Schizosaccharomyces pombe: one gene and its partner. Changing the gene in region 1 together with any one later gene gives a genetic interaction. Each region holds a gene or a part of one and is shown in the gene's direction. Other genes may lie near its edges.

The links.
Region 2: of mst2 (region 1) and ago1, changing one suppresses a phenotype caused by changing the other (phenotypic suppression), as found in Schizosaccharomyces pombe (4 studies listed by BioGRID, with this or other methods).

Annotation. Positions count from the first base shown.
Region 1 is NC_003424.3:2,362,781-2,368,704, reverse strand, and holds mst2 (histone acetyltransferase Mst2), read left to right. Parts: upstream 1-1,770; 5' UTR 1,771-1,871; coding exon 1,872-2,324; exon of another isoform or gene 2,325-2,440; coding exon 2,441-2,530; exon of another isoform or gene 2,531-2,577; coding exon 2,578-3,258; 3' UTR 3,259-3,310; coding exon of another isoform or gene 3,311-5,137; 3' UTR 5,138-5,206; downstream 5,207-5,924. Other genes in the region: protein kinase C (PKC)-like Pck1, read left to right, coding at 1-448, 504-705, 750-938, 980-1,163, 1,209-1,300; exocyst complex subunit Sec3, read right to left, coding at 3,311-5,137. UniProt on the Schizosaccharomyces pombe protein: Component of the mst2 complex which is a highly specific H3 lysine 14 (H3K14) acetyltransferase that functions together with gcn5 to regulate global levels of H3K14 acetylation (H3K14ac), critical for DNA damage checkpoint activation.
Region 2 is NC_003421.2:332,121-337,570, forward strand, and holds ago1 (argonaute), read left to right. Parts: upstream 1-1,958; 5' UTR 1,959-2,016; coding exon 2,017-2,145; intron 2,146-2,351; exon of another isoform or gene 2,352-2,516; coding exon 2,517-4,892; 3' UTR 4,893-4,950; downstream 4,951-5,450. Other genes in the region: mrps8 (mitochondrial 37S ribosomal protein uS8m), read right to left, coding at 1-363. UniProt on the Schizosaccharomyces pombe protein: Required for G1 arrest and mating in response to nitrogen starvation. Ago1 regulation of cytokinesis and cell cycle checkpoints occurs downstream of dcr1. Required, indirectly, for regulated hyperphosphorylation of cdc2.

The DNA of each region.
Region 1 (5,924 bases):
CTTCCTCTTCTACTCCTACTCCAGCTTCTGTTCTTGCTCCACCTTCCAGTGCTAGCTTATCGTCTTCCAAGGATGCTAATAGAAGTGTTCCAGAAAGTCCACGCAGAGAGAAAAAGAATCGTGTTACGCTTGACGACTTCACATTTTTGGCTGTATTAGGGAAAGGCAATTTTGGCAAGGTTATGTTGGCTGAATATAAAGTGAATAAAAAGTTTTATGCCATCAAAGTTCTGAAAAAAGAAGCCATTTTAAAGAATGAGGAACTAGAGAGTTTAAAAACTGAAAAGCATGTTTTCGAAGTCGCGAATAAAGAAAAACATCCGTTCTTGCTGAATCTTTTTGCAAGCTTTCAAACTAGTACCAGGGTTTACTTCGTTATGGAATATATTCTTGGTGGTGACCTTATGGTTCATATTCAACGTCAACAGTTTAGCGTGAAACGTGCAAGGTAGTACTTCAATCTTTATTTTTATTTTTATTTTTATTTTTTATTAACCCCATAGATTTTATGGTGCTGAGGTTTGTTTAGCATTGAAGTATTTTCATGAGAATGGAATTGCTTACCGTGATTTGAAATTGGATAATATTCTACTTTGTCCTGATGGTCATATACGAATTGCTGATTATGGACTCTGCAAAGAAAATATGTTGCTTGGCAATACAACTTCCACCTTTTGTGGTACCCCCGAATTCATGGCTCCAGAAGTAAGGCGGAACTTGTTTTGGTTTATTTTATCTAACGAAAATAGATTTTATTAGAACAGCAATATTCCAAGGATGTTGATTGGTGGGCTTTTGGCGTTTTGATGTATCAAATGTTACTGGGTCAATCCCCTTTCAAAGGTGAAGATGAAGAGGAAATATTCGATGCGATTTTAAGCGATGAACCGTTGTTTCCGATTAATATGCCAGCGGATGCGGTTTCGTTATTGAGAGGGGTATGCAAATTTCTAAATATGTTAACTAATTCAAAAAATAGCTTTTAACAAGAGATCCAAATCAACGACTTGGTAGTGGACCAAAAGACGCAAACGAGGTTATGGCTCATCCTTTCTTTGCTAGTATTGTCTGGGATGACTTGTATAACAAACTTTATGAACCATCATATAAACCGCTTATCAACGATCCCCGAGACCTCAATAATTTTGATGAAGAATTTACAAGTATGACAATTGTTAAAATATGGTTAATTACTAACGATCGATTAGGTGCATGTCCAACTTTGACACCTGTCAATACTGTTCTCACACGACAACAACAAGAGTGTTTCAGAGGATTTTCCAGTTTTGCTACTGAATAGAATTAGCTTGTCCTTTGCTTCTGCTTTTTTAAAATTAGAAAATTATGGTAACAATTTCATATAGTTCTGATGCTGCTTCCTTTGCATTCTTACACTTAATTTAGTGTACTCACCCTTTACATGATATTTTTTTTACTTTTCTACGTGTTCATATTTAAAAAATTTCTGCATTTATCATCATTACATTACTTGAAAATAAAGTCGAAATTAGAGAATAATTAAAGTGGCATTAAAACTACTAATGTAAAACTTATCGTTGAATCACCCAAGGTGACTTTGTAGTATTTATACGCAACGTTTGTAATGGCATTCAATCAAAAAGCTAACAGTGAAGTTATGAATGGTTACTGTTTCAGAATACAAAAGTAAAAAATATGAGTAGTTTTTTATTTAACAAGAGTGAAAGGGTTATCTTTGCAGAGATCGGATGGAGGTGGAAGTAAAGCAAGAACTAAGAAGAGAATGAGGGCACTACCACCAACTCAATTATATTGACCAAAGGATTAAATGGGGCCATTAGGAAAACTATGAACGATCTGTAAATATAAACAATCTTTTTTTTTTATGTATAATGCCGGCGACTATTTTGAAATCCACAGCCAGTTCAAAGACTTTGTTAATAATAAAGTTTGATACAAACTCCTCCAGATATCCATTTTATAAGAAACATTTATTAGAGTTAAATTCGGAAAGTACTTTTTTGGGTCTATTAACTAAAGGGCAAGCTGACACATCGATTACGAGACTCAACCAAGACGATGTGAGGCTGTTTGAAAAAGCAAAGACAGTAGCAGATAGGACAAAGGATGTGGCTTATTCATTTTCCGATCCTATTTTATCTACACAGTTGCGAACGCCTCCACCACAACCAACCTCCATTCGATACCTCTATTTTGGTACTTACCGGATAAAACCATGGTATACATCACCGTATCCAGAGGAGTATAGCTGTGCAAAAAATTTATATATATGCGAATCTTGTTTAAAGTATATGAACAGTGATCATGTACTACAAAGGCACAAGGTAAACAACTTTTCAAGTAAGATCATAATGTTATTCGCTATTGCTTGAGTTTAAACGAGGTGTACATTAAAAGATCATAATCTATCCAAATTGAATTTACGGACTAACATAATCAGATGAAATGCTCATGGAGTTATCCACCAGGAGATGAAATATATCGGGATAAGAATATATCAATTTTTGAAGTTGATGGTCAACGGCAACCGGTAAGTAATTTTTTATGCATTTTATACTTATTGATGTTTTTCCTTAGATATATTGTCAAAATTTATGTCTTCTAGCAAAGATGTTTCTTCATTCAAAAATGCTGTACTATGACGTTGAACCGTTTCTTTTCTATGTATTGACTGAATTTGATGGCCAAGAATGCAAAGTTATTGGATATTTCAGTAAAGAGAAACGCTCGGCTTCTGATTATAACGTTTCCTGTATATTAACATTACCCATTTACCAACGCCGAGGATATGGTGTCTTTTTGATTGATTTTAGTTATTTACTTACACAGGTAGAAGGTAAGCTTGGATCACCTGAAAAGCCACTTTCAGATTTAGGCCTCGTTACGTACCGAAGCTATTGGAAAATGAGAGTAGCCAAAGCTCTATTGGAAATCACAACACCGATTAGCATAAATGCTATCGCCAAATCAACATCTATGGTATGCGACGATGTTATATCCACATTGGAATCGTTATCTGTATTTAAGTATGATCCGCTCAAAAAGAAATATGTATTACAACTGAAACGGGATGAACTTGAGAATGTTTATAAAGCTTGGAATATCAAACACCCTCAAAGAGTAAATCCAAAACTTCTAAGATGGACGCCATATCTCGGAGAAGAGCAGATATCTAACCTTTTACTTAAAGAAAATATACTTATTCCTCTACCTCAAAAGCGTCTATTAGATAACTCTCATCATCTGGATTCCGTTTAGTTCAAATAAATAAGTATTTTAATCTTTCGATATTTGTCGTGAAGCATTTGTATCATCTACGGCTTGGTTGTTGCTCTATATTAATGACGCCATTTAATGCAGTAGACAACTCTAGGGAAAATAAGTTGATGGTTGAATTGATAGACTCACAACCTAAAGCACAATCTTGAAGTTGGCTCTTAATGTTTTGCAATTCGATTTCTTCTTCAGCAAGGTTTTCCACACTGCTTATGATAGCTCCATCAAACGAAAATTCTGTTTGTTTCAATACATCTTTTATAGTTGTACCTTCATTCCACTTCAAAGTGGAAAGACGAGAAATGCTTTGCTCCGGAATGTTTTTGAGGTTGATTTTTGAGTTAAGATCGTAAACTTTTTCAACAGAAGCTTGGTGCGGTTTAGTCGGAATGGAAGTAACAAGAGTTTTCTTGGCTTTTGGCTTGGAAGTGGTTTTTCTATTTTCAAAGCGCAAACTTTCAAAAAGGGGAAGAAGTTCATTTCCTATAGAAGGCTCGTCGTTTGGTGGTTCGATTTGTTTACCAGTCGAAGGAGTTGCCCGAACAGTTGGCTGACGGGACGGGTGCTTTGGAGGTAATTTAGGAATAGCCGGTGCTCCTGTTGGTTTTCGAGAAACAGACTTTGCTGATACTTTAGACGAACTGGAAGGCTTGTAAGATGACGTTAATACTGAAGGAGTTTCTAAGCTAGAAGATAAAGCTGCCTGGGTAGCATCACGATCCACTTTACTAAAATCGCTAGCAAATGTGTTTGACTCCAAAGAAGAGCTTAGTTTCACGTCTTTTTGAGACATATTATACTTACCAGCTTCTAGTGCCAAAGCTGTATTTTTCTCGTAAGAACCACTGATGCTATTCTTACCCCTTTCCGAAGAACTCGTTCCACTGTTAAATGAGGGTGCTTGTTCACGACGAGTAGTTTTACGTAAAGAAGGTTTAGATGGAAACAATTGAGCTTGTTCTTGAATAAACATTTCCCGTGTTTGATTATCTCGTCTTTGAGTTGAAGTATCGAATAAGACATCATCTTTTCGGTCTCCTGAAGTCCTTGCAATGGCAGAAGAACTTGAAATTTCTATAACATCACTATGGGCAGATGATGGGGTCCCCCGGGAAACGTTGGAAGAAGGCTTATTGTCAGAAAACCGTCTTTCTTTTTCAACACTCAACTTCTTTTTGGCTGATCGAGAAGAATCAATAGTGAGCTTCTTCTCGATGCGAGGCTGATCCGTTTCTAAATTGGTAACAATTGGGCCGTCCGAAAAATTACGGTTATGTGCGACTCGAGAGTTAAAAGATGAGGAAACTTGTTCTGAAGAATTTTCAGGTAATGATGACCTTGCTTTAGGAATAGCTAGGCTCTTTGCAGGATAGAGATTAGGTTTGTTATCAGCAAAGGAATTACGATAGGCCCAGTCCACTTTGCGGCCATCAGTCGTAGTCACTGAAAGCGGCCTGCCCATATAGTACATATAATTTTTAGCAACAGAAAAAACAAATCGATCGCGAGCAGAAGTGTCCTGAGTTCGCAACAAATGTGGCTTGTTTATTGTCATAGTAACATCATGATCATTAATTACAGTAATATTCTGCAACTCAAATAAAGGCCAGGATTTCACGACTGTCATTCCGCCTTTATCATTTACTTTCAATCTGTGTATATAAAAAATACGAGTCACATCATCACAAGTCAAAGCAATGTAGCGGGGTTTCATCTTTGAGCCAACAACATTAACTCCTCTTTCTTCCTCCACCGGAAGATATGCTAATGATTGCTCATGAGCTTTCCGTTTATCGGTAGTTTGAGCCGAATTGACAGCTTGTAGAATTTCTTGTTCAACGGCATTAGGGTTAGAAGCCATTCGTCTGAAGTGGTGTATTAAATGAAAAAAATTGGGTTAAATAGATAAATATTAACAAAAAAAAAACCATTAATTAAACATTCTACCACTTTCCAATGGCAAGTAATACTGAAAGCGCCTTATTCAACGGAAAAACAAATTTTCTAAGGAAACGAGACTTTTTTTTAATTCACAGAGTCTTTATAAGCAAGGGATAAAATTTTCTTGTAAAATTGAATTCTAGCGGTAAAGAAATATATAAATTTGATAATAATTTTTACAATTGTGGTGGAATGGTGGGTTAATAAGGAGAAATGTCAAAACGTAAACAAGTGACATATGTAGGCAAATGCTATAGAAGTCGATTTTTTAAAGTTTATTTAAACTTGCAAGCATTGTCTACGTTCATAATATTTATATATATTTAAACATCTTTAAATATTTTTGCTGTGCATGAAAAGTACAATAATCCATAACTTTTTTGTTGATGACTTCGCTGTACTTTATGGCAGCTTTGTTTATTCGACGAGCTTAAAAAATCCAAATTATTGAAACAGGAAACACATTGATAGCCATAGTGTAATTCTAATTGCATAACCAGCAACGTTTAAAATGGTTAGCTATAGTTAAGTATTAGTACTACGCAGGACAATAATTATCCGCTCATTTCCACATCCTGTAGAACTTATAAAAGTGTGTTACACAATGAGCATCTTGCAACGAATACTAGATATTTATAGTAACATGCTAGGGATTCTTATTACACTGTTTGGTACAATTACAGACCCATAATCAAAGCATTGAACGA
Region 2 (5,450 bases), on another chromosome or scaffold:
TGCAGGCTCCAACCCATTCACAAAGCTAACTTTCCTTCCTTTGGCAAATTGCAACAACTCAGAAGGAGTCAAGTTCACCTTTCTACTAGGCTTTGATACTGCACGTATGTAGTGAAGAACCGGTTTTCCCTCAAAGTACTTTAAACCCAACCATAGACGGCGGGTCGCTACATTTTGCCTAGTGGTGATTGTGGGTAAAGCATCGGGTCCATGAATATCTCCGCGTTGAATCGAGCTTAAAAATCCTTGATGATACAAAACAGCACATAACTCGAGCACACTGTTACAGTTAGGAACGCTTGCTAACGACTTGCGAGCGCGAAATGAATTTTGCAAATGCGAAAAAACATAATGCAATTGCATTTCGACTTTTTTAACACAATCCTAATCTTTTATAAGCAGTCCAACAATAAAAGCCTTTTTTTTCTATACAGAATGGTGTTTTGAGGAAAGAAAAGAGGTATGAATGCAGTTTAGCTAGTCACTTCCAAATACCTCTCTCTGTACTGGAAGAATAGTAAGTAGTGAACGGTGTAGCTAGTGTTACACACTATTAGCAAGTTAATGGACATTGCAGTAATCACTGGATAGTAGTATATTAACGACACGATACTAAAGTTCACAATAAATCACTATATAATAAACTAAAAGCACCGGTTTACTATGTTTGGAAAACAAGGCGCAAAATTGCAAAACCAACGGTTATTACGGCAAAAGCCGTCTACCAAATGTTAGAGATTTACTTTGTACAGAATAAAATATGGATCTAAATCGCTGTGTCAATCTGTTAATATTATAGCATTCAAATTACCATGAAACCCACAAAGTTGTCAGAAGTGGGAAGCGAATTTTTGTGCGTTTAGTAGTTCCAAAATCCTCGAAAGGTATTCGCAAATGTAATAATCGAAAAAATTATAATAAGCAGTGTTCAAAAAAACAAGCGGTACAACAGCGAACGCCTGTAAAATATAGGGATGTAAAAAAGCATTTGAATACAATGTAAATTCACAATTGTATAGGATTATAAAAATTTTTTATAAAATAATGGCATAACGAATTCTTTACTGATATTTTAATTACAGAAAAGAAAACGTGAATTGAAAACAAAAGCCTAACAGTATGGAGAACGATTTATAATGCTTCTTTATGTGGCCGATCGTCCAGAAATTACTGATTTACTCAGTATAATATATTGATTTAATTAAGTTTCGCTTCTTAAAAAGGTTGTTAGTTTCGGTAAGCTGTTTAACGAGTATTACACAAAGCACAAGGCATTTTAATTTCATAAAAAAATGTCCGTTTTAATTTGAAAGACGTTCGAAATCAACACTTTTCAAAAATCAGTGCAATTACCGAAATCATTTACTTGAAAGTTGCCAGATTAATATTCTCAAAAGCAGGTTGTAAAAATGTATTATAACTATAAAGAGGATTTCAAGCAAGCAAATATAACAAGAAAAAGAAAACAAGTAGTAATCATTGATTTTGAACCTCCCGGTATTGTTAATATAGAACTAGTAAACAAATAGTAATTCAATGTACTATAATTTTCGTCAATGGTTACAAATAACAATTGGGTTCACTTTTATTGAATCACAACCACGATATAAAGAAAGAAGGGTTAAAACTCAAAAATCCGTCGATTTGGAACCTTTAAAAAAACATAAACCTATACAAAATTATGCGGTAATTTAAGAAAAGCTGTTAAAGATAAGCTTATATTTCTTATGTTCAGAAATTAAATAAGACTTATGTTGCGTTTGCGTGCTCAGAGAAGTATAGAAATAGACCTTAGTATATAGAAAATTCGAATGTATTAAGCATGTAAATAACAAAGTGATAAATAAAATATTTTCTTGATAGTTTTTTGATTTAATATAGTTTATAACTCAAGTAGGTTTTATATACAAGACAACTATGATGAGTCCTAATCTAGGGTTTGGTATATATAAGCTTCCAACCGCCAAAGCGAATTGTCTTCAGCCAACTCGTCCTTTATGATTCAGAGTGAGTAGGATGTCGTATAAACCAAGCTCAGAAATAGCTTTACGTCCCGGTTATGGAGGGTTGGGCAAGCAGATTACTTTGAAAGCTAACTTTTTTCAAATCATTTCTTTACCTAACGAGACTATCAACCAGTATCATGTAAGTTCCTAGAAATCGCACATTTTTATGGAATTAGAGCACTGTAAAGGAAATTTACACATTTAAAGTAAAAGCATAACAGAACACGTGGCCTTTCTTGTCTGAAATATAAATATAAATACAGAAATAAATCGTGCAAGTGTTACTGGAATTGTTTAAAGGTACTTGTTAGCTTCATTCGTTATTCGACTTTACTTTACTATACCTGGTTTATTTTCTCACTTTCTTTTAATGTTCTGTTGTTTACTTTGCCTGCTACATCATTTTGTATCTGTCTTGCATTGCACGATTCTTTTCTTTTGTATTTCATCTCTTCCTCAAATTTTGTACATTAACGTAGAATTGCATCAAATTAACGCCTTTTGTTGTAGGTCATAGTAGGTGATGGTTCACGTGTCCCACGAAAGCAATCCCAGTTGATTTGGAATTCTAAAGAAGTTAAACAGTATTTTGGATCTTCCTGGATGAATTCTGTTTATGATGGGCGAAGCATGTGTTGGTCTAAAGGTGATATTGCTGATGGCACCATCAAGGTAAACATAGGCAGTGAGTCGCACCCTCGAGAAATTGAATTCTCTATTCAAAAATCATCTAAAATTAATTTGCATACTCTTAGCCAGTTTGTAAACTCAAAGTATTCTTCGGATCCGCAAGTTCTAAGCAGTATAATGTTTCTGGATTTGCTGTTAAAGAAGAAACCATCTGAGACTTTGTTTGGCTTCATGCATTCTTTTTTTACAGGTGAAAACGGAGTTTCACTTGGAGGTGGAGTAGAGGCTTGGAAAGGGTTTTACCAGTCTATACGACCGAATCAGGGTTTCATGTCTGTTAATGTAGATATATCTTCGAGTGCATTTTGGCGTAATGATTCTTTACTTCAGATCCTTATGGAATACACAGATTGCTCGAACGTTAGAGACTTAACACGTTTTGACCTAAAACGTCTTTCCCGCAAGTTTCGGTTTCTAAAGGTGACCTGTCAGCATCGCAATAATGTCGGTACTGACCTGGCGAATAGAGTTTATTCCATCGAGGGATTTTCCTCAAAAAGTGCCAGTGATAGCTTTTTTGTTCGCCGTCTTAATGGTGAAGAGCAAAAAATCTCTGTAGCTGAATACTTTCTTGAAAATCACAATGTTCGTTTGCAATATCCTAACCTACCTTGCATATTAGTAAAGAACGGGGCGATGCTTCCTATTGAATTCTGTTTTGTTGTAAAAGGTCAGAGATATACTGCAAAACTGAATAGTGATCAAACTGCCAACATGATCCGTTTTGCGGTCCAACGACCTTTCGAACGTGTCCAGCAAATCGATGATTTTGTCCATCAGATGGATTGGGATACAGATCCCTACCTAACCCAATATGGTATGAAAATTCAGAAAAAGATGCTCGAAGTTCCAGCTCGTGTTTTAGAAACTCCTTCTATTCGTTACGGAGGAGATTGCATTGAGCGTCCCGTTAGTGGACGTTGGAATTTACGTGGTAAACGGTTCCTTGATCCGCCGAGGGCTCCTATTAGATCTTGGGCTGTAATGTGTTTTACTTCAACGCGTAGACTCCCTATGAGGGGTATTGAAAATTTCCTGCAAACATATGTACAAACACTCACTTCGTTGGGAATTAATTTTGTTATGAAAAAACCTCCAGTTTTGTATGCAGATATTAGAGGGAGTGTTGAAGAACTATGTATAACGTTATATAAAAAAGCTGAACAGGTTGGTAATGCTCCTCCTGACTATCTCTTTTTTATTTTGGATAAAAATTCGCCTGAACCATATGGTTCCATTAAACGTGTTTGCAATACTATGTTAGGGGTTCCTTCTCAATGTGCTATTAGCAAACATATTTTACAAAGCAAGCCCCAATACTGTGCAAACTTAGGCATGAAGATTAATGTCAAGGTTGGAGGAATTAATTGCTCGTTGATACCCAAATCCAACCCTTTGGGAAATGTTCCTACTCTTATTCTTGGTGGAGATGTTTATCACCCTGGGGTTGGTGCAACAGGTGTTTCGATTGCTTCAATTGTGGCATCGGTAGACCTAAATGGCTGCAAGTATACGGCTGTTTCACGTTCCCAACCTCGTCATCAAGAAGTGATTGAAGGAATGAAGGATATCGTGGTATATCTATTGCAAGGGTTTAGGGCAATGACTAAACAACAACCACAACGTATTATCTATTTCCGTGACGGTACCTCGGAAGGACAATTTTTATCAGTAATAAACGATGAGCTTTCTCAGATTAAAGAAGCGTGTCATAGTCTATCACCAAAATACAATCCAAAGATTCTAGTATGCACAACGCAGAAGAGACATCACGCTCGTTTCTTCATTAAGAACAAATCCGACGGAGATAGAAATGGAAATCCCCTCCCTGGTACAATTATTGAAAAGCATGTTACTCACCCCTATCAGTACGATTTTTACCTTATATCCCACCCATCTCTGCAAGGCGTTTCGGTCCCAGTTCACTACACGGTTTTGCACGACGAAATTCAGATGCCACCGGACCAATTCCAAACACTGTGTTATAATCTTTGTTATGTTTATGCAAGAGCAACAAGTGCTGTTTCCTTGGTTCCACCTGTTTATTATGCGCATTTGGTTAGTAACTTAGCCCGTTATCAAGACGTGACAGCCGATGATACTTTTGTTGAGACATCAGAAGCATCAATGGATCAAGAAGTAAAGCCGCTTTTAGCTCTATCAAGTAAATTGAAAACAAAGATGTGGTATATGTAATGTTTGATGGATTGCATGCAATAAGTAATGAAATAGATATACGATTGACTACTGGATTGCCCACAACTTTTACTTCCTTATTAAATCTGCTTCTGTTTTTATTTTGCTTTATATTATTGTAATTTTCTTTAATCATTTAATGTTAGTTTTTTTATGCTCTATCCACTGTTGATAGCTTGACCATGTTCCAACGATCAACAAATGTTGATAACGATAATACTAATGACATTCACTTAACCCAAAGCCCGAACTTTATGTAAGTGTCACGCCAATATAGAAATACAGATAAACTAAATGATACTTAAGGATCTCAGAAGAAGTGATTAAAATCGATAAATTCCATGCACAATGGTTGAACAACCAATTTACCTATTTGTCTAATTCAGATTCATCTAGCTTTTTTATTAAGAAAAAACATCATTCAAAGCAAAATCATTCAAATTTGAAAACAGCCTGTTTGAAGAGAATCAGAATTTCTAATTTTTTAGAGTATTTGGGTTAAGTTCAAGAACCAAACATTGCATACTGTGTTAAGATTTCGTTTAGAGGAGCAAAAAC